3 linked regions of the Rhinolophus ferrumequinum genome follow. The protein of the gene in region 3 purifies or fractionates together with the protein of the main gene of each other region. This does not show direct contact. Links are inferred from orthologs where the notes say so. Each region holds a gene or a part of one and is shown on either strand. Other genes may lie near its edges.

Evidence for each region.
Region 1: the proteins of MIA2 (region 3) and PREB purify together in Homo sapiens (affinity purification with western blotting; 3 studies listed by BioGRID and IntAct, with this or other methods). This does not show direct contact. The link is inferred for Rhinolophus ferrumequinum from reciprocal best matches to the Homo sapiens genes MIA2 and PREB.
Region 2: the proteins of MIA2 (region 3) and MIA3 purify together in Homo sapiens (affinity purification with western blotting; 6 studies listed by BioGRID and IntAct, counting the BioPlex papers as one, with this or other methods). This does not show direct contact. The link is inferred for Rhinolophus ferrumequinum from reciprocal best matches to the Homo sapiens genes MIA2 and MIA3.

What each region holds. Positions count from the first base shown.
Region 1 is NC_046296.1:53,516,517-53,526,895, reverse strand, and holds PREB (prolactin regulatory element-binding protein), read right to left. Parts: upstream 4,906-10,379; 5' UTR 4,635-4,905; coding exon 4,500-4,634; intron 3,908-4,499; coding exon 3,715-3,907; intron 3,536-3,714; coding exon 3,315-3,535; intron 3,132-3,314; coding exon 3,051-3,131; intron 2,953-3,050; coding exon 2,828-2,952; intron 2,633-2,827; coding exon 2,459-2,632; intron 2,311-2,458; coding exon 2,238-2,310; intron 2,049-2,237; coding exon 1,889-2,048; intron 1,712-1,888; coding exon 1,617-1,711; 3' UTR 979-1,616; downstream 1-978. Other genes in the region: protein ABHD1, read left to right, coding at 1-157, 333-381, 484-649, 755-966; PRR30 (proline-rich protein 30), read right to left, coding at 6,697-7,779.
Region 2 is NC_046310.1:12,217,472-12,227,850, reverse strand, and holds the start of MIA3 (transport and Golgi organization protein 1 homolog), read right to left. Parts: upstream 4,608-10,379; 5' UTR 4,568-4,607; coding exon 4,435-4,567; intron 1,614-4,434; coding exon 1,480-1,613; intron 1-1,479.
Region 3 is NC_046289.1:86,528,770-86,539,148, reverse strand, and holds the start of MIA2 (melanoma inhibitory activity protein 2), read right to left. Parts: upstream 7,273-10,379; 5' UTR 7,068-7,272; coding exon 6,953-7,067; intron 4,922-6,952; coding exon 4,788-4,921; intron 2,069-4,787; coding exon 1,982-2,068; intron 1-1,981. UniProt on the Homo sapiens protein: Plays a role in the transport of cargos that are too large to fit into COPII-coated vesicles and require specific mechanisms to be incorporated into membrane-bound carriers and exported from the endoplasmic reticulum.

The sequences.
Region 1 (10,379 bases), on a different chromosome or scaffold from region 3:
ACCTGGCACGAATGGGGCAGGCTGCAGGACTGGTGGCAGCCCTGACTCTATCTGCATGCTGGGATTCCTTTGAGACCACCCGCTCCCTGGAGACCCCACTCAACTCATTGCTCTTTAATCAGCGCCTTACTGCTGGGCTCTGCCAAATGGTGGACCGGTAGGATCTTGGCAAGTGGGAGGGAGAAGCAGAGAGTAGGATGGCAAAGACACCAGGTTCTCCCAGTGCTTGGGTCAGTTCTATATCTGGGTTTTTTCACTCATAAGATAAAACGGGCTGGGGGCTCTGGATCAGGTCCAGGAGCAGAGTCAAACCTCTAAGCGCTCTTTTGCAGAAATAGAAAGGTGATGGAAAAGGTGGTGAATGTAGACTTTGTGCTACAGGTATAGTCTTTCAACCATCTCCCCTCCACCCAAAATTGTTCTTCTAGTATCTTCCCATTCCCTATTTTCATCCTAGCCTATCCTGCCCTCCACCACCCACAGGCCCATACAATCCGCCAGTTTGATGAGCGCTACACATCTGTGGCCTTTGGATATCAAGACTGTGTTACCTACTATGAGGCAGCAAGCCCAAGAACCAAGGTAGATGCCATCCAGATCCCTGTGCTCTGCCTCAACGCAGCCGATGACCCCTTCTCCCCAGTCCATGGTGAGCACCCTGAATCTGGATGCTTTAGGGCCCAAGGACAATGGGCCAGGAGGTGCAAGTGGAAAGCCTGGGCTCTCCTGACCTCCTCTCCAACCCTCCCCCCAGCCCTCCCCTTACAGGCTGCCCAACAGTCTCCCCATGTCGCACTGCTCGTCACTGCCCAGGGTGGCCACATCGGCTTCCTGGAGGGGCTGCTCCCCTGGCAGCACTGCTACATGAGCCGCCTCCTCCATCAGTATGCCAAAGCTGTCTTTCAGCATCCAGCAGAGCTGCTCGGCCTCAGGGCTCCCTCACCTTCTGAGGGAGGCAAAAGCTGACAACAGTACCACTGGGGTCTCAGTTCAGTCTTCCCTTGTTTATTAAATATAACTTTTCCTGCTGAATGGACTGAGGTTCATCTTCCCTTCTCTCGAGGCTAGGGAACTTACTGCATATTTAGCCTGGCTGGCTTACAGCTACCCAGCTGAACCCACACATTACTGCCTGGGTCTTCCTTTTGCCCCTTCCTTCCCTAACAGCAAGTCCCAGGCCAACAAATGCCAGGGGCTCATGTGAAGAGCAACTGGCCACAGGTTGTGAGGAGAGGAGAAACGGATTGTTTCGCAGGAAGGGACAGCAGTGCCTCCAGATTCTGGGGCATCTTCACATATTTCTGGAGAAAGGACAAGCTCAACTCCGGAGCCTCTGGTAGACAGAGGGAAGGAAGCAGGTGGTGTGGCCTGGAGCTGCAGACACTGCTCTCCTGGGTAGATCCACAGATGATGAATGCAGGGTTCCCAGGACTCGAGTGGCACAGGGCCACAGCCGAGCTTTTACTGGGAAGGGCAGGCAGTACCCAGCAAGTCTCATCTAAGGCCACCTCAGCTGTAAACCCAGGTGGAGGTGGAGTGAGCAACGGGGTCCAGGCCTCCACCCTGGTCCAGAAGGTGGCAGTGTCCAGGTGGCAGTCTCCCTGGGAGCAGGGAGGCTAAAGAAAATCTGGAAAGGCACTCTGGAGCAGCAGGATGGTCATAACAATAAGCCCGACACATAGCAGCAGCAGCAGCCACACAGGAACACTCCCTGCAGGGGGGTAAGGGAAGTAGTCAGGGGGCAAAGGGACTTCACAGCCTGAAGAACAGAACCTCAACCGGTTCCATTCAAGGAGGGGGGATGGCTACAAGCAAGCAGCCCATTCTCCAGGGGGCAAATTTTTGCTAGAGCGAAAGGGTAGGTGGTACCCCCACCCCAATGACTCACGCCGTGAGGGCAGCAGGTGCAGCTGGCAACGGCTATCAACAGCCACAGAGAAAAGGGCAGTTTCGTGGGACCCAAGGAGCTCTGGACCACGACCTTTCTCAGGTAGAAAGGCCACATCTGTCACCACGATGCCATGGGCCTCCCTCACATAGTAGAGGCGCTGGAGACAGAAGGAGAACTAGTGAAGGAAGGCCCAATTGGGAACAGTTCTGGAAAACATCCCCTCTGCCCCCAGAAGGCTTTCCCTCTACCGGAAGGCCAGACTCCTTCCTGCACACTCAGGGTACAAGCAGGCCTAGAGTCCCCACTCCAAAGAAACCTCAGGGCTGTGCCCACCTCTACCCGTTACCTGGAGAGAGAAAGCTATGTAGATGGCAACAGAGCCAGTGACCGTGCCCAGGCCTAGGAAGGTGCCCGATTCACTGCAACAGACAATAAAATGCTCATTGTCCTGGAGGCCTGTGCAGCGACACTCATTCACTAAAAACAGTCCTCAGGGACTCAGGCAGGATTCCTTCCCAAGCTCCCCCAGCCACCCTCACACCCAGCCAAGCCAGCATCATCTCATACCTGACACTAAGGCAGGAGATGACTTCATGGCCACAGGGTTTGGTCCGAAGGGGCAAGAAGGTGGAGCCATCCCAGGCTGTGAGGTAGCAGGGTGGGGGCTGGCGCAGACGCTTGTGGGGAATCTGCACTGTGAAGAGTCGCAGCCCAGCAGGCTGGTCTGGAACCTGCCCAAACCTGGCAGCCAAGTGAGAAGCTGTTAAGCGTCTGGGGCCTGCACAACCCTCCTCAAGAGTCTGTACCCTCCTGCATCCTGGTCAGGCCTGAGGTAACACCACCAAGGCCATGATGCTCCCCAGTTTCCCCTAAGTCTTTCCCCACTCTCCCACCACATCGAGGCTGACCCTCTGGGGTCAGCCAGGGTCTTCACACCTGCAGGCCTGGTAGCGGTAAGGCGTGTTAGAAAAGGTGGGTCCATTCTCTTGCCAGTGCAGCTGTGTCACCAGCTGATCCTTCTGCCACACGGAGGCCTTCAGGTCCCAGCCCACAGTTACCAACTAGTCAGGAATCAAGATTCCAAGATGAACAGTTAGGAGATCCACTTACAGAACACGCAGCATAATTACATACTTTCTCCACCCTCTCACCTCCTCACCTTGCCATCAGGCCCCAAGGCTAGATCCTCAATCTCTCCTTCATGGGCTTTGAACTCCAGCACTTTCACTAGGTTGGGTACCTGCAGCCAAACCACCACCATGATTAGCCAGGCAGAGCACATTGATTCCCACCCCTCCTCTCTTCTCATGGCCATGCAGCGCAGGTTTCACTCTCATAAATTCCTAGAACCCAAGTTCAGTTTCTCACAATTCTGGCCTTGCTGCTACTGACATTCATCCTTCCTAATCCCCCAAAACCACACCTTCCAGACACGAACGTAGCCATCTGTCCCTCCAGTGGCAAGCAGGGTATTATCGTGGTTGAAGCACACAACTTTCTGCAGTGGATCAGGGCTGAAGTCTGTCTGCACTGCCTGCAAATTCTCTACTTTGAGTTCTACTCCATCCTGGTGGGTTTCAGCTCCAGATTTCTTCTCTGCTGGGGCTACCCCCTTTCTTTGTCGAGGTCCCTGCTCCTTGGAATCTGCAACACAAGCAGCCTGTCACTTTCCAGTCTTCTATAGTAATCCCAGGTCCCTCTCTACAATATCCAGCTTCGCACTGCTACCATAACCCCACTTCCAGCGCCACTTTTACAGAAACCAAGATGAGAGTGATCTCACTCATGTAACCTTTTCCAAAGCTAGAGAGGGGGCTTCTCACCTGCCTTCTCTGCCTTGTTTTTGCCCTTCTGCTGCTGGGTCTGGAAGCGCAGGAGCTGACAGTGGGCATCCTGCCCTGCGGCGAGGATGTTACCCGCCAGCGCCAAGTTCATGGTGGCCCGTGTCTCCGTGTCATGGGAGTGTAGCAAGGAGGCGCTCAAGCGCCCATTAATCTGCTCTAGCTGCAGAAAGTGCTATGGGAAAGGGAAGCACAATGAGCAAGGTTCAGGGGTGCTGGGAGTTTACCTCAAGGGCAGACTTGCATCCTATAGTCTGATGCTCTACCCCTTTGCTTACCGCACTTTCTAGTGCACAAGGATTTCTCCAACCTTTGTTTCTTTTTCTTTTTTTTTTTTGAACCCCGCAAATCTGGACAGCTGGCAGGGTTGGCGTTATTGCCTCCAGTTTACAGTGCAATAGGGTGGCGCTTAGAAGGAAGAAACCTAGCCTAAGGACCAAACGCAGCACTCTCGCCGCCGTTAGAGGGCAGACGGACAAGTCTTTGTGGCCTCCCTGGAAAAGCCCAGGATAAGACCCCCGGAGCTGCTCCTGTGGTCGAGTTTAAAGCGTTCCCGCCAACGCAGCGCTAAGAGCAGTTTTCACTTTACCTCGGGAGTCTCTCAATCAATTGCTCGGCTGAAATTCGCGCCGGGATATCCGGCATGCCGGGGATTTCAACCGGGGAGGGGCAGGGTCCGAAGCTGGGGTGCGGCCCGACCCTGCGACCCTCCCGGAATCGCCTTCAGCCCGTGGAGTGACCCGGTCCCAGCGGCCCCGCTTTCTCACCACGCCATTCTTTATGCCGGTCTTGGCGGCGCCTCCTCCGCCCGCAGCGATGAGCAGCCCGGTGCTGGGGTCGACCTGAAGCGCGTACAACGGGAACGGGGCCCGGTACAGCTCTGGCGCCCGGCGCCGGCCCATCCCGCTCGCTTCACTGTCCGCACGGCGGCACCCGGGACATGCTGCGCCCGGCCTTCGGTTCTTGTCCCGGCCGCGATTGAACTTGGCCCCGTCGTTGCCGGGAGGACTCCCGACACCTCTCACATCTGCCGGGTGGCCAAAACTCGAACCACACAGGGATCAGTGTCTCTGCCCCCAGCCGGCTAAGTCGGGCTCGCAGACGCTCAGCGCGCAAGCGCACCGAGCTCGCTCTCCTCGCGCAGGCGCAGACCCGCCATTACGCGTCAGCACTGGCGGGCCGTAGGTGACGGAACACCAGCGCCAGGGTTCTGGTCGCCGCCCCCCCGCGTGACGTCAAATTTCGACCTCTTTTTGCGGGGAGGGAGAGGTGCTCTCCTGTTTCGCGGGAAGGTCCTCGGGGATTCTGGAGGAGGAAGGGGAACCAACAAAGATTAAGGAAGGTTAATAAACCTTTAATAAAGAAATCCTTGGATTAGGGCTGTCTACCCTTCAAGAGTGACACGCAGACTCATGCAGCTCAGCCTTCATGTTTTACCCCAGAGAGGAAGTGATTTGTCCAAGGTCACGCACGGGCAATGTAATCTCTCAATGGAGGCAGTGCGGAGTTTCGAACGAACTTGGCTTCAAATTCTGAATCCACTGCTTCCTCGTCTGAGGAACCCACTATTTACCTTAACAACCACCCAAGGTTGGCAGGCAGTGGTGGGAGTGGCTCCCGAGGATTTGTAGGTGGAGGCTGCTCCCCTCTGACACCTTGAGAGACAGGCAACCTGGCTCCCAGCCGGGCAGATCTCACTTCTGCCTGACACCCCACCCTCCTAGGAGGCCCTGGGGTTTCTAATCTCCCAGGAGAGGGTCCCTGTGTTTCTCGGCAAGTGAACGCTAGGAGTGCCCTTTCCTGCAAGGATACATCTGCTGCTCCCCTGGCCTCATCAGCGTGCATCTTATCAACCTAAGGTTCCCCCAGAGGAAGGGGCCCAGTGGCTTCGTCTTTGGGGATGCCATTATCTGTCTTTACATGTGTGAAGTGTCTGCCAGAGCCCTCTGCACATCTCAGGTGCTCAGGCCTTGTGGATCCCATGCCTTCCTCAGATACATGGCATCCACTGTCCCTGGCCACTGTTTCCTTTGACTCCCCCAGAAGGTGCTACTGTAGGCAGAAAGAACTGGGCGGCTGAAGGGAAGGGGAAGGAAGAAGGAAGTGCAGGGAAACAAAGGATATGAGATCATTCTTAAGGTGCAGCTACAGCTAATTGTAATAGATTATAATATTATTAGCATTATGGGCGGGAAAAAATCTCTACCCCCTATGTCACCATATGACAGTTCAAACAAGGGCCAAGTAAAGACAAGGGAATCCCACCTCCCCACAGGAAGGAGTGATAAGCGAGGACAGCAGGAACCTGTCCTCACACCTGTGACGCCACCCCTAAATCTTGAATATTTCGTGCCCTCATTCAAATAAAATCCTAAACTTCTTTGTTCTTTGGCGCAGTTGCTGTTCTTGGCCTGCTTACTCCTGCCTTTTGGGAGTCTATTCTCTGTCTTTTAACAAATCCTCTACTTGCTTGGCTTGGCTCGCTTTGCTTGCTTGCTTATTCGGTGCATTCCTGAATTCCTTCCTAAGGCGTAACCAAGAACCCATTTTCCAGTAACATAGGTACCCACTGTGTCTGCTCAGCAGGGCACAAACACAGGTTTTTCAGGGTCAGGCTTTATTGGATACACTGAAGGCTGAATGGGGCCTTGGATGCCCTTGGTCCTCTTCAGCCCGGAGAGAGCAGACTCCACAAGGGGCTTCCAGGGTTCAAGACTGGAGAACACACCTGACCTCCAGCCAGCCAGCCCTTCAGGGTGTCTTGGGGGCTTCCCAAGATCTGGGGCCTGGTGGGGACAGTGGCGTTTAGCAGAGGTGCTCCAGGGAGCCTCCGCGGCTCTGGAACTAAGGTGGTGTCTTTCGGAGAATGGGCTCTAGAGAGGCAGGCCTCTCTGGAGCAGAGGAAAGCTTGGGCTTCAGGGAGACAGTGGCCTGTTTTGGTGCCTGAGGTGGAGGCTCTGAACATCAGGCGGAGTTTGACGGCTGAGGGCCTGCAGACCTGAGGCTCCGGGTCTGGGAGGGTGTGCCTGGGGCTGAATTTGCCCGGGCCTGAGCCATTGCTGGGGCCCGAGATGCCTGGGTTGGATACCCACAGGCGGGAGGGGCCTTGCCCTGAGACCCTACTTCCTCTGGCCTTCTTTCTGGTAACAGGTGCAAAGCCCTGGCCTGGCCACGAGGCAGGCGAAGGCCAAAGCCGATGCCTAGGCGGAGTGGTCCGGATTCCTGGCCCTGTGCACAGGGCAGTAGTTGGGGGAAGGCCAGGAGCCGGGGTCCAGTCCTGCAACTGGGGATGGGGCAAGAGGGGCTGCGGGGCCGGAGACACACCAGGCATATGGGATACTCCACGACTGGAGCCTGGCCGGTTCTGCCTAGCCACAGGTGCTGCAAAAGCAGTAGCCGCAGGTCGTGTGCAATGCGGCGGTGCCCCAAGTGGGCCACCAGGGCCTTGGCCAGTGCTCCGGGGTCCCTGAACTCTGCAGGGTCCCTCTCGCTTGCCACGCATTCCCCCACCACCCCAGGGGACCTGGTGTCCTGGTACTGATGATGCCAGTGCCATGTCTGCCTGTTAGAGTAGATCCCCGGAGAAGGTAGGCTGGGGCTTGGGGAAGTAAGAGGGGAGCTAAGTAGGTCTACAGGGTGGGAAGGAGTCTGGCAGCCTGAGTGGGAGAGAGAGTTCTTTGGCTCAGAGGGAGACAAGGAATGAGGAGGAGGAGGAGAGGGGTATAGCCGTTGGGAGGGAGAGGAGGAACGTGAAAGGGAGAGAGAGGGGTGATTCTGATGAAAGAAAGTGGGAGAACTTGGGAGAGAGAAAGAGTAGGGATGTAGGGCAAAGTCAGAATATGACTCAGAAGAATAAAAATGGGAGACAGGAGAATGGGACTGTGGAGAAAGGAAGCTAGGTGGGTAGGAAGGAGTGAGTGATTTCTGGGGAGGCAGAGGCTGAAGGTTGGGGGGATGGGAGTCCACAAGTTGTGAGGGGCCCTGAAGGGGGTGCCCAGGGGGCACTGTGTTCTGTAGAAGCACCTGGTCCTTGTTTTTAGGCAGCATTGCCTTGAGTCCAGAAAGGACTGGGGTGTCAAGTCCAGAGATTAGAGATCTGGCAGAGTCAGGACCAGAATCTCTGAGGTCAGACTTAGCTGAGAAACCAAGGTCTTCTGTGTGCAGTGTGAGGCTGCGTTGGTACAGCTGTTGGTGGCAGGCCAAGGAGACAGCCAGCCCCGTAGCACCAGGCTGTCTGGGTGTTCAGGCAGAAGCTTGGGTCTAAATTCAGCGTCTCACTTCTTTGCAGTCAGCCATTGATGAGGGATGTATAGGGATGGAGAATCAGAGCTGCCTCGTGGGAGCTGAGGGGCAGCAGCAGTTATCTGAATGGGTCAGGAAGACACAGCCTATAGGACCTGTAGAGAGGGAAACAGAGCCCAAGACATTGGGAGAATCAGTCCATTTCTGGCTCTACTTCATGTGCCAGTACCAGGCTGATTCACCAAGACCCTAAACGCATGTCACCTTTGGGGTCAGAAGAGCTGGAAAATGCTCCAGGGTAGGTTAGATCTGAGGAGAATTATAGGGAGAGAGGGTAGAATGGAGTTGGATGAGGGGGTTTGGGGGGTGAGGGCTGAGATGGGACTAGGAATGGAGGGTATTCTGGTGCTGTGAGCTCTTACCAACGAGGGTTTCTCTGGGCTGTGTTTCACAAGGCAATTGAGCAATGAGGGGACGTGGGAGAAAGATAAACAGTCACTACAGGGTGGATACACCCCGCTCTGCTTCGTTTACCTCCCTCAATTCACTCTGACCCAGATTTCTATCTGAGACTTGCCCTCAGTCCTCTTCCAGGGAGGTGGAGGTCTTCTGTTACAGGCTTTTGTTCGAAACCTGAATCAGGGATTCTGCAAGCATCCTGGTCTCCTGCCACTCTGGTTCCCCTGACCCCTTGCTGCCTGTAATGCTGATGTCCTCTGGCTCAGCCTCGCCCAGGCTGAGACGGTTTACCACACCCAGCAGCAGTGGTAGCAGTGGGCCTAGCTGGTGAAAGCCTCTGGGAGACTGGGACTTTGTTTAAGGGGTGGCGTTGCCGCCCCCCTTGGGAGCTAAGAGCCCCATTTCCTAGGGGCAGTTCTCCTTGACATCCAGTGCTTATGTCACAAAAGTCAGGTACTGACATCATAGACCCTCTGCCTCAAGGCTCTGGGACCTTCTTTCAGGGATCATCCAAAGCTGGTCCTTGACAAAACTGAAGCAGGCAAAAATCTTTGGGGCACTCAGTCTCCTCTTCAGGTCCTATTTCCCACCTCTGCTCTCTGCCCTCTCTTGAGCTATATAGCCTATTGGGCTGGGCTTTCCCTTCAACTTCCTGTTTTCTTTTGCTTTCTGATCAGTGGCTCATGCTCCATTCCTCCCTGGCCTTGGGATATAGTTATATGTTTTAACAACTGTTTTCTTAACAGCTTTATTGAGATACAATTCAAATACCACACAATCCACCCATTTAAACTGTGCAATTGCTGTCTCCTAGTATACTCACAGGGTTGTTAAACCATCACCACAATCTCATTTTAGAACACTTTTGTGTTCTAAACAAATCCCAGACCCATTACCAGTCACTTCTTATTCCTCCCTTCCCACCAGTCCCTGGAAACTATAAATTTACCTCCTGTTTCTATGGATTTGCCTACTCTAGCAATTTCATATAAGTGGAATCACACAATATGTGGCCTTTTATGTCTAACTTCTATCAGTATGTTTTCAAACTTTATTCAAGTTGTATTTATTCCTTTTTATTGCCAAATAATATTCCTTTATATGCATGTACCATATTTTGTTTTCTCATTAATCAACTGATGAACATTTAGTTGTTTTTACTTTTTTGGTGATTATGAACAATGCTGCTATGAACACTCTTATACAAGTTTTGTATGGATATATGTTTTCATTTATCTTGAGTAGACACCTAGGAGTAGAATTGTTGAGTCACATGATGAGTCTATATTTCACATTTTGAGGAACTGAAACGCTTTCTTTCAAATTAGCTGTACCATTTTTCAATCCCACCAGCAATATATGAGGGCTCCGATTTTTCCTATCTTCACCAACACATGTTATTGTCTGTCTTTTTGATTTTAGCAATTCTAGTGGGTGTGAGGTAGTGTAATATTGTGATTTTAGTTTACATTTTCCTAATGACTAATCATGTTGAGCATCTCTTCATGTACTTATTAGCTATTTGTTTATCTTCTTTGGAGAAATATCTATTCAAATCTTTGGCCCATCTTTTAATTAGATATTTTGTGTTCTTATTGTTGAATTGTAAGAGTTCTTATATATTCTGGATACAAGTCCCTTATCAGATATATGATTTGCAAACATTTTCTGCCACCCTCTGGATTATCTTTTTATTTTCTTCATGGTCTCATTTGATGAACAAAACTTTAAATTTGATGAAGTCTAATTTATCTATTTTTTTCTTTTCTTGCTTGCTTTTGGTGTCTTATCTAAGAAACCATTGCCACACAGTATTCCCCTTTATCCTTAGGGGATATATTTTAAGACCCCCGGTACATATATATAGATATACCGGGGGTGCCAAAAAAAATGTATCCACATTTTAAGAGATGGTCAATGATGCTCAAGCAGTAGTTTGCCATAAT
Region 2 (10,379 bases), on a different chromosome or scaffold from region 3:
TATCAGGACACATGTAATTAAGTGCCACCGCCCTGAAAGGAAATATTCAAAAGGAAGGTGGGTTACACATGGGCCCTTCCAGTAACAGGACTTTTAACTTTATAGGAGCTAAGTCACTCTACACACTACCTGCAATACAGAGCAGTAAAAAAAAAAAAAATTCCACACAAGCAGTGCAAATACAGTGCCACCTAAATTATTCTCAGACAGCAGAGATCCTTCTGGCTGGTCAGAGCTTCTCAAAGAAGGCAGGATGAGAGCTGGGCCTCAGGATGGCAGGCTTTCCAGAGGTGAATACGGTTGTGAATAAAAGTGTGGAGATAGAAAAATGCAAGTCAAGTTCACTTATTCAAATGCTCAAACTTAACCGCTAGATGAAAAAGGAAGCTAGGAACATGGGGAAAATTCTCCAAGTGTAAAGATTAAGAAGTCTCATGTGGTAGACTTGAAAGAAACAGAATAGATTCTTTGTATAGAGGGATTCAGCTGGGATTCTGCCTAAATACAAGGGTTGTATCTAGACCAGTTGGCCTTTGGAGATTTCTCCCTAGGAATCTGGACCGCCAAAAAAATGAGTCTATTTTTTCCTTATGGTGGTTTCTCAAGTCTTATTTTCTATTGTTTGTTTGGTGTTTTATTGAGAGTGAAAGTTTTCACAGTAGGGACTGTATATATCTCTAAATTTGGACAGTCCTAAGGACATCAAGGACTTTTACTACTTTCGATAAACAGTCCACACATCACACTTTTTAAAAAGGAAAGGACAGTATCTCATAAGCCTCTCAATCAGGTCACTCCTAGTGAATCTTCTCATTCAAAACATCAAAGCATGATGCATTGATTTCCATGTCTCATATCAGGGCACCCGTAGAACTGGGTGCAGTAGAGCTGCTGGGGAAACTGCTAGGAGCAAATATCTAAAAAGCAGGAAAAAGATTACCTAGAAGTTGCAAACAGAACAAACAAACAAAGTACAGAGTGAAAATGACATTTTGCTTTTTTAACAGACTAAGAATGGCACACGATTATGTAACTGTTCCCAAAGCTGCCAGTTTTTCACAAATATTAATAACTTAGAAAAAAAGAAACGCACACAAAATCAACTTTAATTGTGAATGCCCAAAACACTATCTTGCACATAATTTATAGAAGTAAGCCTAATGCTCATAAATCTTCCCTTTTTGAAGCAATGGAGTTAAGAATTTCCAGGTTGCACTATTTTAACCTTTACTACATCTGGTGCACCCATGGCTGATCAGGTCTAGAACTTGAAGCAGTTCAGTTCTGTTTAGGAAACCTCTGCTGAGCCCCTACTCTGTGCCAAGCCTGATGCCTGCTGGGGACCCAAATCTTTTTCACACTCTAGCACAGAGGATAGGTTAACACCATCAAAGACCCAGCAAAACAGTTATTTAAATCTACAGTGCTAAACAAGCCAGTAAGAAGTCAAAAAAGAAAGTATGTCAAATTTTTACTTACACTTCCAGCCCAAAGTTCAGGCGATCTCCCTGCCAGTGTGTAGTAGACGTAGACATGGTCACCTTTTTTAAAATTCACAAAACGACAGTCTGGGCCTGTAAAATCTTCTAGAGCTTCACCCCGGTACATTAACACTGTATATAAAGAGAGGAAAAAAATGACCGGATGTCAGGATTCAACTTTCACAGTCCACATTGATTTATCAGGAAATGTAAGAACCCACTGTAAACAATTCACTTTCTCCAGTACTCTGTGGAACCAGTCGCTTTCAATTCACATGCTCAAAGTATCTAACATATTTAGAGGTTTATTGTTATAAATCATGACACCCACTGCAAGTAGACGGGGATGAGGGAAACTTTTCCTGGCTTTCTCTATGCATAATGAAACAAAAAGCAATGTGTCCACCACACTTGCCTGGTCTCAAGTGAAACTCTCGTTCCCTCTCTCACCTTCTAGTCCTCGATCTTTGCTGTTTCATAATCATAAAAAAGCTTTATTTTGCAATCGGGTAAATTCAAGTAGAGATACTGACTAGCTTAAGCATGACTACATGTAGAGGTAATAGGAAACTGGGGAGAGCACCTAGGAACCCCCAAGGGGTCAATTAACTTGAACTAACCCCTAAAAGGCACTATCTTTAAGTGGCTCTAACTGCTACCACGTAGCCATAAACACTGTCAGTGTCATCTGCAGCCAAATTGTTCTGTCCTTACAACATCTGAATAAATTAACAGGAAAGGGTGTCAAATCCTATTATGGATCCAATCACATTACAAGGTAGTATTTTCTGAAAGTATATAATGTTGACTGTACCCAACATTAAGAAGTTTTCAAAACAAAGTTGAAGCATTCTTATTTACTTATTTCTATAAATAAAATCAAAAGTGGACATCATCACATGTGGCAGGGACAAGCCTAACTGTGAGACTTGTTCAGTAGTTACCTTCAGTCCTAAAATGTAGGACTGATAGAACTAGAAACTGGTATTTTTCTTTTTGTTGGCCAGATACAGTTTCTGGTGTAAGATGAAATGGACAATAAATGCAATTAAATAGCAGGCGAAAAAGAAGGATAAAATGGAAATAACCTTTTTTCCTAAAAGCGAATTAGCAATAAATACATTAAAACATACTTTTAAATACATATTTGAGGGACAAACATAGATTTGAAGGAGTTTTGGATTTTGAAGCTAAAATCTGATTATTTTAATACATATCAGCATCCTAATTCACAGGTAATTGGATAAGAGGCCAGGTTGAAGGTGATGGACAGTATAAGATTGGAGACTCTATCAGAACTGGAGATAGCAATGTTTCTCTTGGTCCCTGTTAGAAGAGATCATTGAGGATTTATAGTAATAAATGAGATAACAACATAATGTATACTGGTGAACAACTATCTGAAAAGCCCATGCCACACAACACAGATCCAGACCCTGCTCCAGCTGCTGCCTGCTATATTTTGTTACATCTGTCTGGACACATGCCATTTCTCAAGTTCTGTGACAACTAAGGGCCTTTCCAACACCATGTTTCTGTACTGAGGAAGCATCATGGATGTGATCTCCAGGCAACTGGTTTTGAGGAACTCAGCACAGTGCTTGAAAGCAAAGAATAGCAAGCATTTTGCCAGAGCCAACCCTGTTTGTTAACAACCTGAGTTTGCTGGGGGGAGAGGAGGGGTAAGTAACCAAAGGAAGAAATCATGATGGAAGTTGTTCTGCTTTTGTCGTGTTTATTTACATCCACCCTAGGGGTTACCTCCAGGAATGGCTCAACACAAATCAAAGATTGCCTCCTTTCTTTTCTTTAATGGTGTTGCAGTGATACAAACTCTTCAAATTATGTAATTTGTTTTTGAATAACACCAATTTGAACATAAATGGCTAAACTATAGGCTTATGGCCTTTTCAGAATGAATATTTTTCAGTATGTATCAATTACAATTTATGAACAACCGATTCCAAAGCGGTAATCAGTAAGTTACAAGGTTGTGTGAGACCAGTCGGGAGGCTGTTAAGAATGATCCTCGTTCGGCAGAAACCTAGGAAGAGATTCCAACAACACAGTGACTAAAGCTAAAGCTGGTTGGGTTTATAAAATCCTTGGAGTATTTATTATTGTTACTTTCAAAATCCTCTTCATCTGAGTCTGAGACCTCAGCTCTCCACACCCTCCCACCCCCAATCCAAGATGGGAACAATTCCGCTTCCTGCGCAAAAAAGAGGCGGCTGATGGTCCCAGGTGGCCGATTCATATCCTCAGCCTCTTTCCAGAACGAAAGATTTTTGGCCTTGCTGTTGCCCGCCCTGCCTGGCTGCTTGTAAGGACTTCTAAGCACAGAAATGACAGGATTGAGGCAGAGCCGGGGCGGAGACATGGGAATACTCTGCTTGCCTGGACTCCGCGCTCGTCCCAAATCTAAACTCCAATCTATCTGTATGAGCCCCAAATCCGAGTGAAGCAGAAGGGCGAAGGGGCAGTGCCAGGGCGCCCTTCCCGAGCCCCACCATCAACCTGCCGCAGAGAATCCACCCACCGAGCCCTGAGCGCATCTGCCCCCGGGCTGCACCCACCGAGGTCGCCGCGGCGGGGACAGGAAAGCGCTCGGAGGCAGCGTGGGGAGCAGGACGCGCGGCGCTCACCCCATCTCCGCTACGCGCCGGGCGGGCGGGTGGAGCGGACGCTGGGAGCTGCCCGAAACGGGGGCCACCTCCAACCCCCAACACCCCTCCCCGCCGGGCCAGCAATGAAAAAATAAAACGCCGGCAACAAGTGGGAGGTGCAGCCCCCAGCGGCCAGGGCCAGCGGGCGCCCGCAGAGCCGCAGGGCACAAAGGCAGGGACCCGGGGATCACCCCTACCCCGGCCTGCGAGCCCCCGGTCGGCGTGCGGGCTGCCGAGCTCCCGCCCCCGCGCAGCCTCGGCGCCGCTGTCCCCCTCCCGCCACTCACTGCTGCATTCGTTGTCCGCGCAGAGTTTATACTCCGAGAAGCGCCGATTCGTGTCCGGCTCCGGTTGGCCCGGCACCCGCCAGGGTGGCCCGAGCAGGAGCAGCCAAAAGAGCAGCCCGGGCGCCGCAGCCATGTTGTGGTCACCTCGCGGAGCCGGTGACGCGGTGGAGGAGGCCGGGGCGGGCGCCGGCGGGCGGTGCCGGGGGCGGAGCGCGGGTGGGAAGCGCGGCGCGGAGGGGCGGCGCCCGGGAAGGTTTGAGTTGTTCCCGGCTGACACGTCAGCACGGGCTCGGGGAGGGGATGGAGGGCTCCCGGAGGAGGACCGCAGCTGCGACTTTCTCCCCGAGGCCTCCTCCTCTGCTCGCTGCCTTGGCAACCGGGACTCTATATCCTCTCCCTCGCCCAATCGCCTGCCTTTGCCCCTGTCCCTTCGCGGGCGACCCTCCGCGCCATTCCATTCCTCGCTCACCCCTCTCTGCGACCTTGGATCCCCTAACCTCGCTGTGTCTCACCAACAGGTCCTGCTGGCACCTCGCAGATTCTGATTTCTGGTTTGTCCCAAACCAGCCCACTTCACCCCCCAACCCCCATTCTTGGTTGGGTACTTCCTTTTCTGGACTATCAAATCCCACCCACGGTTTGCCACTGTTAGTCCTGGTTCAAGGCTCCTTCTCCTTCCGACCCCCGGGGGTTCTTGGGGCCCCATCCCATGATCCCCTTTAATTAGGAAGGCGGAGTGTGAGTGGAGTGGTGCGTTGGTGATGTAAATTACAGCCGGTGGCCTGCTTGGTCACTTTCTGAGCCCTGGGGGATGGAGGTGGGCAATAGGTCCCTGTGCTGAGATCTTCAGGTTCTTGGGACTTTATCCATAAGGGAAGAAGTAATTTAATTCAACACGAATGTGTTGAGCTTTCATTTTATGCTACCATTTCATGTCACGCCAGACATTGGACAAAATACTAGGGTGGTGTGCGGAAATATGTAGGTCAAAGACAAGATAACTGGCCCTTGTCTAAGGAAGCCCACAATTTAGTGGAAACCAACAAGCATAAGAACGACTACTGAATAAATGTCAGAGTAGGAGAAAGCTAATTAATGGCAGCTAACATTTACTGAGTGCTTTCTTTAGGATGAGGTGTTGTTCTAAGGTGTTCATGTGTATCAGTTCATTTAATCTTCACAACAATAGTAGATCCTATTACTACCTGTCTTCGTTTTTGAGATGAGTAAATTGAGGCATTCACACTCTAAGATTCAAACCAGGTAATATGCTCCTTTTTAATCATAACTGTATAACGCCTCCATCAAGCAACATTGCAATTTCTGTTCTTTCTGTCTGACTAGAGGAAGCAAAATCTTGCTTAAATTACAATATGACTGAATTATCTATATATGCCACACACACAAAAAAAAAAAAAAGCCACATGTCAGCCGAGGGAGGAGTGGCGGCAATATTCTGGCTCTGGTTGGAGCACTTGGCATTTGTCTGTGGCCAGAGGCTCCTCACTGCAGTCTCTGCTAAGGTTATTCATCCACCTGGAACATCAGTCAAACCCATCAGTTGGCTTCCCAAACTAACTGGATTCTTTGAAAGCAAGAGGAAAGAATGTGGCCCATCCATGCAATCCATAATGCTGAATAAAGGAAAAGACGGGATGTTTCCAGAGGTGTTCACAGTCGTCTATAGGGGCCGTGAGATGTCCCGTTGGTCCAGTGTAGTTCCCATGCTGTTTGGAGAGAATGTACAATGGATAAGGTCACCGAGCATCCAAGTAGTAGTGCCCTCCGGAGATTTTCATTTCTTTTCTACTATGTGTTTGTTTGCTTTAGATTCTTAGGCGTGCCAAACAGGCACCTCTAACTTATGATGTTAAAAACCAAACTCTTTATTTTGTCTCTCAAACCCTGATCCTTTTATCTTCCCCGTCTCAATAATGACACTTTAGTTCCTATTTTCCAGGTGCTCAAGTCAAAAACTTACAAACCATTCTTGACATCTCTTTCTCTCATACCCTATGTCCAATCTACCAGACAATCCTGTGCATTCTTTATTTTAATAGCTTTATTGGGGTGTAATTGATATACAATAAACTGCACACATTTAAAGTGTACAATCTGATAAGTTTTGACATATGTATACCCGTGAGACCATCACCACAATCAAGATAATTATATCCATCACCCCTAAGAGTCCTCATGCTCCTTTGTAATCCCTCCCTTCCCTCCCCTGCCTGTCTGCAAACAACCTTCTGTTGCTATAGATTGATTTGTAATTTCTAGAATTTGATATAAATGGAATCATACAGTATGCGTTATCTTTTTTTTTGGTCAGACTTCTTTCACTCAGCATAATCTGAGTGAAACATCCAGAATCTGAGCACTTCTCACCATCTCCGATGCTAACACTGCAGGCCGAGCCGCCATCATCTCTCGCCTGAAAGATTGCAATAGCTTTCTCACTGTTCTCCCTGCTTCTGCTTTTACCTCCCTAAAGTCTGTTGTCTCAATAGCAGCCAGCATGGTCATTTCATGATATAAATGTGATGATATAAATGTGGTCATGTTCAAAACCTCTGCTCCTCTGCTCAAAACCTTCCTGTGACTTCCCACCTCCAAGTAAAATGCAATGAATGACTATCATGGACTGCACTGTCTTATTTGATCTGACTTGGTCATCCCTTTGACTTCCATTTCCTAACACTCTCCCCTTGTACAATTAGTTCCATTCAAACTCATCAAACCCGTTCCTGTGTTCAAGCATTGCACTTGCAATTTTCTCTCAACCTGGAACAGTTCCCCCCACTAGTTCACCTGGCTAACTACTTCCCTCACTTCATCCAGGGTCTGTAACAACACCTTATCTTATTAGAGAGGCCTTCCCTGATCATTTACACGAGGTAGAGCTCTGTCCGTGATTATCTAGCCCATCATCCTGCTTTTCTTTTCTTTAGAGCCTTTACCACCTGCCTTACATTTGTTTATCTCTTTGTCCCCCTACCCCAAATAGTATAAGCTCCACGGGAGCAAGGAATTTGTTTTGTCCAATGCTGTAATTATGTGCCTAGGAAAATGTCAGGAATGTATGAGGTACTCAATTAATGATTTGTTGGATGAAACTGTGATTCCTCACATATTATAAATATGGTACACTATTACTCTACACAGAGCCTCCATATATAAACAGTACCAAGAAGGAATATGCCATGAGAGCAAGTCGTTTTCTGTCTTCCCCTCAGTTGCATTCTCAACACCAGGAACAGAACCTGGAATATATTTTGTTGATTGAAGGCATATTTATTATGGAGGGAGTGAATGAAATTGCACTGTACTTTTTCCTAAATACTACCAGAATATTAAAGCAAATAATGATAATACTAATGTTACTTATTTCTATTTAGAGTAGAAATAATGACAATTCATTGGTGGAAAAGCAAAATTCCAAAACGACTGATCAAATCAATATTACGTTACTAATATTTACTTTGACTAATATTCAGAGATGCTTTTATATAAAGAATGAGAGTTGGTAGATTTCCAGAGTTTCGGTTTATCTGTATTCTTTTAAATCATTATTATCGCCTTAAAGAGATATTAACAAGCTTGATGGATAATCAGAAAAAATTTCTCAGTTTCTCACAATGAGAGTGGTAGTGGTAATTCTTCCTGCCAGTGTGTATGTGTGTGTGTGTGTGTGTGTGTGTGTGTGTATAATCCCAAGTGTATTGTTTGTTAACACCTCAAATGGAATTTTCACTGGGCAAATGTTGAGTAAGAGTTAAAAAAATAAATTTGTAGTTTGTGGGGGGAAGGGATCAAAATATCAAAATATAAGATAAGGAGAGTTCCTGATCATGAATAATTTGTGGTTGGATTGAAAAGGACAAGACAACTACATCTGAAACAAATAAAATACAGCATAATAACATGTATCATTGTAAACTTCCCATGATGGCTGCCCAGGAACATCTAGAGTCTTAACAATGAAGTTACCAGGAAGAACACAGTCTATCACCAATGATAAAACCACTTCGAGTCCAGAGAATGGTGTAAAACATATACTGAAGACTGTGGCTTCCATCCAAGATGGAGTAATAGGATCACATGTACCTTCCCCTCCTCATGTTAAATATCTGAAACAAAACAAAACATAAAAACATAGACAAAATATGTGAATCAATTATTTTCAGACATTGGACAACAAACAGTATGGGATAATGATCCCTCTGATAAGTGGAACAAATAAGGTGAGTGCTATGACTGCCTCAGCTTACTCCCTGGATAAAGTATCCATGCCACAACCAGAGAAAGGAAACTCAAACAGGTGATCTTGAGTTGAAGAGACAGATTTGTAAGTTTGGAGAGATCAAAGCAGCTGGGATTTGTAGGGAACAGTACAGAGGAAAAGAGAGCTGCATGGAAAAGAGAGAACTTCACAGACAAAGAGCTCTAGAGACTTGCAGAAGATTTCTCTCAACCTTAAACCACTGGGGAGGACAGGGAAAATAATTGTTCGAGTACAGAATAGTTTATGCTCCCATCAGCCAGAATGGAAAACCTGTAGTAAACAGAGCATCAGGTAGAGTGCTCAGTAAAGGGTAAAATATCAGCCTAAGATTGAAAACTACTCTATCGAAACTCAAAAACAAGTCTTGAAAAGATCAAAATATTTCCAAATAAATTAACTGCATTCCAGAACAAATCTCAAGAATATTTAAAAGAATACAAATATCCAACACGCAACAAGGTAAATATACAATGTCTGGAGTCCAATAAACAATTATGAGGCATGCAAAGAAGCAGGAAAATACAACCCATAACAAAAAGAAAAATCAATCAATAGAAAATTTCATAAATGACACAGATAATAGAATTATTGTAGAAGGACGTTAACAAAATTATATTCCATATATTAAAGATGCTATAGGAGAGCATAAGTATGTAAAGGAGAAACGTGGAGGATATAAAAATGATCCAGTTCAAACTTAGGTGAAGAAAACAATGGCTGAGATGAAAAATATACTAGATGGTATTAATAACAGATTAGACATTTCAAAAGAAAATATTAGTGAACTTGAAGACATAGCAATATAAACTCTCCAAAATGAAACAGAGAGAGAAAAGAGACCAAAAGAAATTGAATAGAGTATCAGTGTGCACAACTTCAACTAGTCCAACATATGTGTGACTGGGGTGCCTGAAGGAGGTAGGAGACAGAAAATATATTTGAAGAAATAATGAATTAAAGCACTCCAAATTTGATGAAAACTCACAGATCCATGAATCCCAAGAAACCCCAAGCACAAGAAACATGAAGAAAACACCAGTGCACATCCAATTGCCTAAAACCATTGGTGATGAAAAAAATGTGAACGTCATCTAGAGAAAACAGACACTCTGTGTACAGGGGAGGGAAGATAAATGACAGGAGACTTCTTGTTGGAAAAATGGAAGCCAGAAGACAGTTGATCAACATATTTAAAGTGTTGAAAGAAAAAAATATGACACTCTGGAGTTGTATACCAAGTGAAAATATTTTTCAAAGATGAGGTGAAGTCTTTTTAACACATGGTGCTGGGACAACTGGATATCCACATGCAAAAAAAAGAAAAATTGAACACTATCTTATGCCACATACAAAAGTCAACTCAAAATGGTTCATAGACCTAAATGTAAGAGCTAAAACTATTAAAAAAAATTAGAAAAAAACACAGGGAGAAATCTTGGAGTAGGCAATGATTTCTTAGATATGACACCAAAAGCACAAGCAACCAAAGAAAAAACAGATAAATTGTACTTTATCAAATTTAAAACTTAGGTGCTTCAAAGGACATCATCAAAAAAGTGAAAAGATAACCACATAGAAGGGAGGCAAATATTTGCCATTTATATATCTGATAAGGGTTTTGCATCTAGAATATGTAAAGAAATCTTAAAATTCATTAATA
Region 3 (10,379 bases):
GTAAACTTCTTGGATACAAAGGTCCATCTTAGAATCTTATTTCCCAAGGAACTTGACCTAAGAATTTGGGGCTTCTGTATGTTTACAATGTGCTTTGCTCTGTGCTAGGTGCTGAAATTCTATAGTAAACAATAAAAAAAAGTAATTGTAAATTGTAAGTGCTATGGAAGAAATAAACGGGAAGCTGTGACTAAGAAGCAGTGATTCCATAAGAATCACCACGGAAGGCCTCTCTGAGGCACGGATGTTTAAGCTGTGACCTAAGGGATAAGAGAGAACTAGCAAAGTGAAGAACTTGGGGAAAGCATTCCAACCAGAGAAAATCGCCTATTTGGGGCGCTGGGCTGGGAAAGACCTTGGCCCGTTCTAAGAACAGTCAACAGTCCAGGGCGGCCAGGAGATGGCGAGTGAGTGGAGAGTGACATAAGATAGGGTCAGCAAGAGGGACAGGAGATCAAGTGGAACCAGGGTAAGGAAGACAGGGCTTGATTCCAGCTTCAATGAAAAGCCATCAAAGGGCTCTAAACCAAAGGAATGACATGACCTGATTTTTTTGTTTTTATAAGATGCATTGCTGTTTGAAAAATGAATTGGGAAAGGGCAAAAGGAGAGGGAAAGAGATCAGTTAGAAGGCTATTGCAGTATTCTAATTAAGAGATAATGATAATGAATTAGGGCTCTGCGGGAGAGTGAAATGATGAGAATACAATAAAGTCAGATGTATTTTGGAGATAGAACTAACAGGACCAGTGATTATACAGTAAGTGGACAGTTAATCCCAGAATTAGTGCTGGGAAAGAGCCAGATAATAGTTTGCCTAACTAGGCAGCCTCGCTTGACACTGGTCTCACTTAAGGTAAATTGGCTTATTCTGGAATCTGAATTAAATGGGCTAATCAAATTCATATATTAAAAAGTCACCTTCTGATTCCCTTTCTCATTATCAAGCCCAATATTATCAAGTTTATTCAAAACTCTAACAGCAAAAGAGGTTGTACAGATACGAGATCTAGAGAGTGTTAACCAAAAAATACAAGGCCTTTCAAAGTGAGAGGCAAGAAGAATTTATGTGAGATATTAAAAAAAAAAATAGCTGTTAGGAATCACTGATTCCGGCAGAAACCCAAATACTGGTAGCGTTCCAATTCAGTCTGGACTTCAGTCTGGACTGCAAAGGAAGGGGGTATTTATGAGGAAGGGAAGGGGAACAATTATATCAATAGAAGGAAGGCATTTCTATTGGTGCAGATAAGCTAACATGGTGATGCTAATTCTAAACAATGTTTTTAATTTTCAGTCATATAGTCAGAATATCTGCTTTCTTGTTATCATTGCCAACAGTTCTTTGGGACACAGGCCCAGTCCAAAGGTTATTTTGCCCTGCTTGAACATTCCAACAGTTTGAGGCATAAGACATGCAAGGCAGTTCCTCTGGGATGGCAGCTACGGTTCCATTTTAAAGTGGATCCATTTATATTATGTTTCTTAACAAGAATGTCAGGGGAAATAAACTTTGTCCCAGTAGCACAATCACGTTAGTAATAATATCTAACACTTACGTAGCACTTACTGTTCTAGGTACGTTACATATGCTCATATTTTCTTCAATAAGTTTATGAGGTAGCACTACATTATAATCATCATCCTCGTTCTACACATGAGAAAATGAAGACCACATAGCTAGATACTAAGTGACGGAGTCAGGCTTTGAACTGAGTCCACCCCCAGAATCCATGCTCTTAGCCACTATACTCCACGGCCTGTCTGTTCATTTTTCAGGAAGCAAAATCTTTGTTTGTCATCAGCTTCGTCTTACCTAATTTTATTTACATTCTCCAACTATTCCTAATGTGTGTTCTCAGACCAACGATTTTATATATTCACTATACAAGACACATAACCAGTGCGCACTTATACGTCAGAAAACTGTTTTAGTCAAGAAATTTTAAATTCAATTAATAACCAAAATGAGTTTACTCACTTTAGTTGGTATTTGAATTTCCTCAGATATAAACACCTCTTCAGTCTGGACTGCATCTCTGGGAAAATATCCAAAGTCCTTTCCTTTCTATCAAAATGAAAAACAAAAGGTCGTCAAGGAAGAGTAATCAAAGCAATAAACTATTGAAAGTAATTTTGGGGGCCGGCCTGGTGGCTCAGGTGGTTCGTGCTCCTAACACCGAAGGCTGCCGGTTCGATTCCCACATGGGCCACTGGGCTCTCAACCACAAGGTTGCCGGTTGGATTTCTCAACTCCTGCAAGGGATGGTGGGCTCCACCCCCTGCAACTAAAATTGAACACAGCACCTTGAGCTGAGCTGCTGCTGAGCTCCTGGATGGCTCAGTTGGTTGGAGTGAGACCTCTCAACTACAAGGTTGCTGGTACAACTCCCGCAAGGGATGGTGGGCTGCGCCTCCTGCAACTAACAACGGCAACTGGACCTGGAGCTGAGCTGCATCCTCCACAACTACGACTAAAAGGACAACAACTTGACTTGGAAAAAATCCTGGAAGTACATACACACTGTTCCCCAATAAAGTCCTGTTCCCCTTCCCCAATAAAAAATCTTTAAAAAAAAAGTAAGTAATTTTGCCCCATGTCCTTGGCTTTCATCTATTTTAAATATCACAAATATTAAGTGGCTTTAATATGCCATCTAAGAGAAAGTGAGTGATATTATATTCCTTTTGTTATTCAAAAGAACAGCATTAGTTTGAGGAAACAAAGAGGCAAAGCTATCAAATGCCACTTTTTTAAACTTCAGAGGGGAACCATCCCACACACTCGTTTTCTTCCTTTTTGTGTTCCTTAATGACTTTCCCTGCCCAGGTGGACCACAGATGTACACTAGTAAACCTGGGATATCGAAAGGTGGGAGTAGCCAAGCTAGATAAAGCTGTGACGTATTCAGCATTTTCAGGATGTCAAAATTAGGTGAAAGGTTTAAATTCTGAAGGACCGAGACAGATTCATCAAGATAGTAAAGATCTGTGAGTCCTCCAGGGAGGATTTGGTTCCATTCAACTTTTCTGAGGCTACCTTGGTAACAGAGATCCTCTTAATCCGGTTTAAGTACATGTAGGATGTCCCCTGAGAGTGAGGGCTTCACACAACCATTCTCAGCCCATTTCCTATCCCTATCAAGCTTTAAATAACATGTTTCTTTTGGTCCCTCAATCCAGCAGCATTACACTTTCATTGTAATTCTTCCAGCTCTGCAGTTGCTGCAACTATTTGGAAATTGACAGCCTGTGGGTGAACTGACAGTGTGTTTCCTTAAACAGTCATCTGCCTGGACTAAACATCTAATGCATAAAATTATATATGCTTGAAACTTCACCCTGGCTCCACACATTACACGCTGCTTTTGTGTGGAACTATCATTTTCAGGCATAGGAAACAAGAAAGAATGCTTTCTTTTCCTCTTATACCTACTGTGTCATTTTTCTTATAGGTGCATGGGGTGTCTCTAATGCATTCAAGACATAGATTGGCATATTTAAGGGACCATGAGCAGTAAGGAATCTTGGGAGCTGCAGAGGCCAGACAAACAATTCTGGCCAGTGACAGTCAGTTTCAGTCATACAGCCCCTGATGCTAAAAAGCAGGATGGATCCAAATAGAATCTGTTCTTTCAAATAGTGACCACAGAGTCTATGAGAGAGAGAGAGAGAGAGAGAGAGGGAGAGATCTGATGCATATGCAATATGGAAATAATGTTATGTATCAGGTTGGTCATGCTTATTCAGCTTGGGAAAAATGCTTATCATAGCATTTTTTCATTATAAAGCATAATGATATAATCAAACATACAAACCTATTTTTTTTTAACTTTTATTTATTTTAAGTGTGTTTTTCCAGGACTCATCAGCTCCAAGTCAAGTAGTTGTTTCAATCTAGTTGTGGAGGGCACAGCTCACACTGGCCCATGCGGGGATCGAACCAGCAACCTTGTTGTTAAGAGCACCGCACTCTAACCAACTGAGCTAACCGGCTGCCCCATACAAACCTATTTTCAACTGAAAACATTAATCATTAATTTTCCTGTGTTATATATTCAGAGAGATGATTCTGGCTTCAATGAATTTCAGTGTAATAGGACTTTGGGTCAAAGTCTTTTTTGGGCCAGTTCTTGTTTTCCATGAAAAGTTCATATACTTTGCTTCCCTGGGCTACTAATTTTTCTGAGGACCTTTTCAGTTAACAATTCAGTCCTTTATTTGCTCAGAAAGATGTGCCTTTCTTTTTCTTTTCTTTTTTTTAAGGAAGGCACAGGTCACAGTGGCCCATAACGGGGATTGAACCGGCAACCTTGGTGTTATTAGCACCACACTCTAAGTAACTGAGCCAACAAGTCACCCCAAGATGTGCCTTTTTAATATGATAAGCTAAAAGGTCCCAGTCTCTCTTAAACTTGGCCATTGGCAGCACCATAGGATGCAAGGGAAGGCTGGGGTCATCCCATAATTTCTATGGGCACCTCTAAAGTCTCTCCAAGTAAATATAAAAATTTACGTTCAAAAACTACGAATGCTATGTAAAAATAATCTCAAAGCACTCTTAGTTCTCCATGCCAACCAGACTGCCTTCCCAAAAGCTACTTCATAGATATTCTGGAACCAATACTGAAACAAGACCATTTTTGTTTGTTTAAATATGGTAAGGGTTTTTAAAATGTATAAAAAGTACTTTGGAATTCTTTAAGTTCCTTTAGAGATGAAAAGCAGGCATCCTTGTACAAGCTAGCCATTTATTCTGCATTCAGATTTTAAGACTAGATACTTACACTTCCTGCCCACAAATCTTCCCTTTCTCCTGCAAGTTTGACATAAACAGATATCTCTTCTCCCTTAGTGAAGTTCAGGTATCGGCAGTCAGCTCCTCTGTAATCTCTTATGGCTAAGACTCTGCTTATTAACGCTATGTAAACATGTAAAGAAAAACACACAATTTAAATTAAAATGCTATTTCTCCCCCTCCCATCTTGCTCTTTTCCAATCCATCCTATGTATTTCCATGCTAATTTTCTTTATATAATTTATGGTCTCAAAAACCTACATAGACTTTTCACTGCACACAGAATCAATTCAAAACATTTTAGCTCGGTATCCAAAGCTGTCCATTACCTGGTCCTCCTACCCTATTTAAAATGACATCCTCTGATTCCTTTACAGTCAATTTCCTCTATCCATTGTCCCTGGAATGTGTCATTATCATTTTCCAGTGAATAGGGAAGGGAAAGAAAAGATAATTAATGTTTTTCCTGGTACCTATGTATTCCAGCCATTATACTAAGCTCTTTTATATCTTTATTTTATTAAATCCTCAAAACAGACCTATGAGGTAAATAATCTCATCTCATCTCAGTCTAACAAATGAGACTTTAAGTCTCAGAGAATTGGTCACTCACCTGACAAATGGTGGAGCCAAGATTTGCACTGAGGTTCTTTTCGCTGTATCATCTATCTTCTGTATTCCCAGCTTTTCTTTCTGCTCTTTCCTAAACCTAGAAACCCTTCGGTTTCTCTTCATGGTGAACTCATAACTACTGCCTCTGGGAGACATCCCTAATCCGTTTAGCTTACTCTGCCCCTTCTCTGAACTTCAGTATTACCTATTATCCTTAGGTTGTATCAGTGTTTACTAATTAATCAATATCTTGTCTCACTTATTCCGTAGAATGAAAATTCCTGGAGGTCAAGAAACTTATCTTAACATTTCATTTTATTCTCTTAGATTCATCCCCCCCATCTAGACTCAGCACATAACAGGCCCTCAATAACTATGAATGATCATAACCCATATGCTAGATTTAATACATACAGTAATATACATACCAAATTAACTTATAATTATATTAATATATGTAAAACATTTTAATTAAGTTATGCAATCAAAGTTAAAATAACATTATAAATTTGAATATTCTCATTCCATGTTCTGCGTCTGGCCTTAAGGTAACTAAAATGAGGTTGTAAAGAGGGAAAGAAAGATTATTATTATTATAAAACATTATCTAGTAAACCTCAACATATTAAATTACACATCCGAATGGTTAAAGAAAATATTTACTCATAAAACATTTGCTTGTAAATTATTTGTTTACACTAATAATATTTTCCATTTTTAATTTACATATTGCAAATCAGAAATAATTCTCACATACTGGAGAGATAAACCTTATTTAAAGCAATTATAATATATTAGTATGTAATTCATTTTACACCAGAATGCTAATAACAGAAAATAAATTAAGTTCTTAAGCAAGAAAATAAGATTAATTTTGTGTGTGAAGCTGGTTTTCTGTCACAATTGTATCTGCCAAAAATTTAAAATATCTTGTAATAAAATCAAAATATATATGAAAATAAATAAATAAAATAACATTAATATACCTTTATAGAATATAAAGTTGAATATTCAAGGGTATAAATAAAATTATATATTGCCAACACTGATTTCAATATGTTTATATAACTAGTGAACTTAGAAATTATTAATATTTGATAAAGTTTAGACAGTATATCCTGATGGTTTGAAATAAATTCATTTTTAGAGAACTCATGAGAATCAGAAAGTTCTGATTGTGAAATAGAAACTGAAAAATATCGGGGCTTCATAAATCAAGAAATATCAAATGGCTTGATATCTTTTCTAATATAAATCAATTATATTTATCTTAAAAAATAGTAAAAGTTTGAGGTCTGGATTAATATATTGATAATTTCTGACATAATTATACATCAGGCTGATCTTTGCCTTTTTGTATATTTACATTTAAAAAAAATCACAAAATGTCTTCAACATTTTCTTTTTTTACTGAACTATACTTTATAAATAATTCTCAATGATATCAATGCTCATTTTTACCATGCATGTCCACAATAACATTTTATTTCATTTCAGAGCCTCAATTTAAGAGGAAAAGAAAAAAAAGAAAAGCAAACTTACTTTCACATTCCAAGTCACCACATTTTTTAAAGGCTGCCAGCAGTTTTGTGCCTTCCAGACACTTTGTCAGAGAAATAACCAAAAGAAGGATTCTGTGAACTCCAAGCTCCGCCATGCTAAAACAAGCAAGAATCCCAAATGAGGTTTAAACCATATAGGTTGTAGATATGGCCTCCCAAAACAGGAGATACCCCACTCTCTTTTCTAAATACCAGAGAAAAAGGTATAGTTTTTTTAAAGAAATCCCTTGAAAACTACATTTTTCTATCGGTATTTAGGCTTAACTTTCGAGACAAACACTGTCTGTTCTCAATCTGCAGTGTCAGGTATCCAGATAATACATTGGGGTTTAATAATTAACAGGAATTTTTAGTTGGACTCATGTCTTATAAAGGTGGCCTATGTGAAACTGTCTCTCTTAAAGGCACCTTGCGTTCAACATTTCTTAAACAAGCCTCTACGAAAAGATAGATCATTTCTTTCTGTTAAAAACTTCAGGTAAGTCAGTCAATAAGTACAAACTGAGTATTTGCTGCATGCAAATATCAGCATCAATGGAGAAAGTACGTATTATTATTACATGTAGAAGCAGTAACAATTTATGTCACAAAAAGTTTTTGAAATATCATGATGAAAGTTATTTTGAAAAACTATCCCACTTTCATATTTTAAAAAATTTCAGTGTTACTATGAAGTTGAATCTTGTATTTAGGTAAGAATACTAGTTAAAATGTAGTAGTACTTATGTGCCAGGTACTGTCCTAAACACTTAAATATGTGATCTGATTTAACCCTCACACCAGCTCTCTAAGGTAAGTAATATTATCATCCCCATTTTTGTATTTGAGGAAACTGAGGTACATAGAGAAGGGTTAAATCACTTCAACATCACATAGTTAGTAGAGAAGAAACTTAAACCTAGGCACTGTGTTTCCCCCTACTTACAACCACCATGCCTTCCTACCAAGAATCCAGTCATCTGCCACAGAAAGATATCTACTTCTGCCACAGAAAGATATCGTCCGCAACAGTTCTATTCCAGAAAGAGCAGGTACAGTATTATTCCATGTATGTAAAATTGTCTGCATATTTCTATAAATGGAGAGAGAGTTAGAGATGTCTGAAAGAATGCTCCCCCATACAATGGAACTATATGATGTGATTTCAACTTGTATTCACTTTCTTCTTTGTACTGTTCCATAGTTTTGGACTTTCTTTTAAAAATCAGCGAGCATATATCCTTTCAAAAATACCAATAAAGTTAGGCAAACAAGTTATTTGAATGCTATTGTCACTTAAAAGGGATCAAAGCCCTATATTGGGAATTTTTTGTATAACACTAGATCTCAGTAGATTTTTGAAAATCGCAGTTGTCCTATTTCAATCTTGAGGAAATAGTTTTCTAAGCCCGTCTTTGCTGTAGCTTTCCCCTGTATTTGGGCATGCCAGCGTGTGTGTGGTTTGCAGAATGTAGCTCTTGTATGTATGACACCACACTCCCCTCTAGTGCCTGACATAAGAGAGACAAATATCCAGCACCTGAGCAAGCTAAAGTGAAGGACATTTGCTTTCAAAGTCCTAAAAAAAGGAAGTATGTTTTCTTCTTTTTTGCTTGTTTTCCGAAAACAACAATTAGTAGGAAGCCTGCTTTCTCAAATCAAAGATTTTTATGTCCTTAGGAAGAATCTAATATGGCATGAATTTGCAGATCATTTGGCTTGTAATCAGAGTACTGCATAGCTGTACACACGCACACTCAAAGAGGTATAGGTTGGTTTCTTGAATGCTTTTGAAAATCTATAAATATATAAGTTGTCAAAGACATTTAAAACAGGATTAGCTCTTCAGCTAATTTGCGTAATTTATAATATCAAATTGAGAATATTCAATAATTAATGTACTTTATCCTTTTTTGTATTCAACATTAAAGATACTACAGCTAAATTTTGAACTAACTGACTTAATTATGTTCTAAGTTAAGAGAGAAAAGAACCCAGATAAATTTAAGTTTGTCTATTGATTGGCCTACATGAGATTTGATTCAAGAAAAATGAGAAGAAAATCCTTGCTTAAGATACCATCCTGGAGAGATTTGCTCCTAAGGTACGTGCTAGAAATATTCCCACTTTCTTGCTACTTAATGCACTCAGGTGATCTAATTTTATATTCAACTCATTACTTAAATATAATTTAACAAGAAATTATATATGAAAATACAGTAGCACAATGTTAACTTATCTAATAAACCCAAATGAAGAGGAAGTGCATGCAAGAGATAAGAGTATTTAGTTTAAATAAAGTATCAGTTTTCACTGTAAAAACAGTCATATTAACTTAGCCAGATATTATCTGGCTGATGCATTTTGCAAATCAAGTGTGTGTCAATATTAAAATATAGTACTGCTGCTAAAGAAGGTTTCATGGTAACACTCACTCAGGAATACTGGTTTGGAAGGCCTACAGCATCCTTCAGAAACCATACAGGAGGTAAGAGAACTTACTGCATCAAGCTAAAGAAGGAATCATGAAAGCCACCCACATGTTCAGTGTCTGAGAGATGATATCACAGAGCATCCCTTTTCATGAGAATAGAAAGACATAATCATGAATGCTGCTCTTGTACTTCTTGGTGATGTTGTTTCTGATACTGTATAGTACTATCTTCTCTCGTAATATCTCACATTTCCTAAAGTGGGAGCATATTTCCTTCAACGAATTGCCTGTTACTCTGGTAATTTATAAGAAAGAGAAATTTGATTAGAAGTTACTTGGGAGAACTTCTTGAACTGATGAAGCTGGATTTGTTGTTGTTGTTGTTTACTAGTGAAGAGGCACTAGAACAGAGCGCTTGGAAACAGTTCCCATGGTAGATACATGCACAGAGAGACAAGGCCCAGGAGACACTGAGATTCAAACTGGTGTGGAAGACATGGAGATGGCTCTCAACACACCCTCTTCAAGTTAAGACTTTCTGCTCAGCTGCGGGAAATGCAGTTAGCAGACAGCCTCTGCCTGGCAGCCACTCCAAGGTCTACATCAGTTGCAGAGAGCCACCTTACCCCTTCCTAGGTGATCTAGTGAACCTAGTGAGTAAATGACAAGGAAGTACAAAGACAGGGCCATTTCAGCTTCATGTGAGACACTCTGGCAGGCACGCCTCACTCCAGAGCTCCCTCCCTGTTGGGTTGACTAAAGCTTTGTAGAGCCTATATTGCAGTTCAACTTCCCCTCTGCCCAGTCCGGGTCTCTCCCCCTTCTTTTCATAGGTGTTGATCCCGTAAAACTAAAACTCTGTTTTAGTGTCTGTTTCTAGAGGACCCAACCTCAGAAGCTAGTGACCCACAGATGCAAAAAAAAAAGGAGATGGCAGGACATGGCAAAGAGTGGAGAATGGATTGGGAGGAACAAAAAGAGAAAACCCCACACA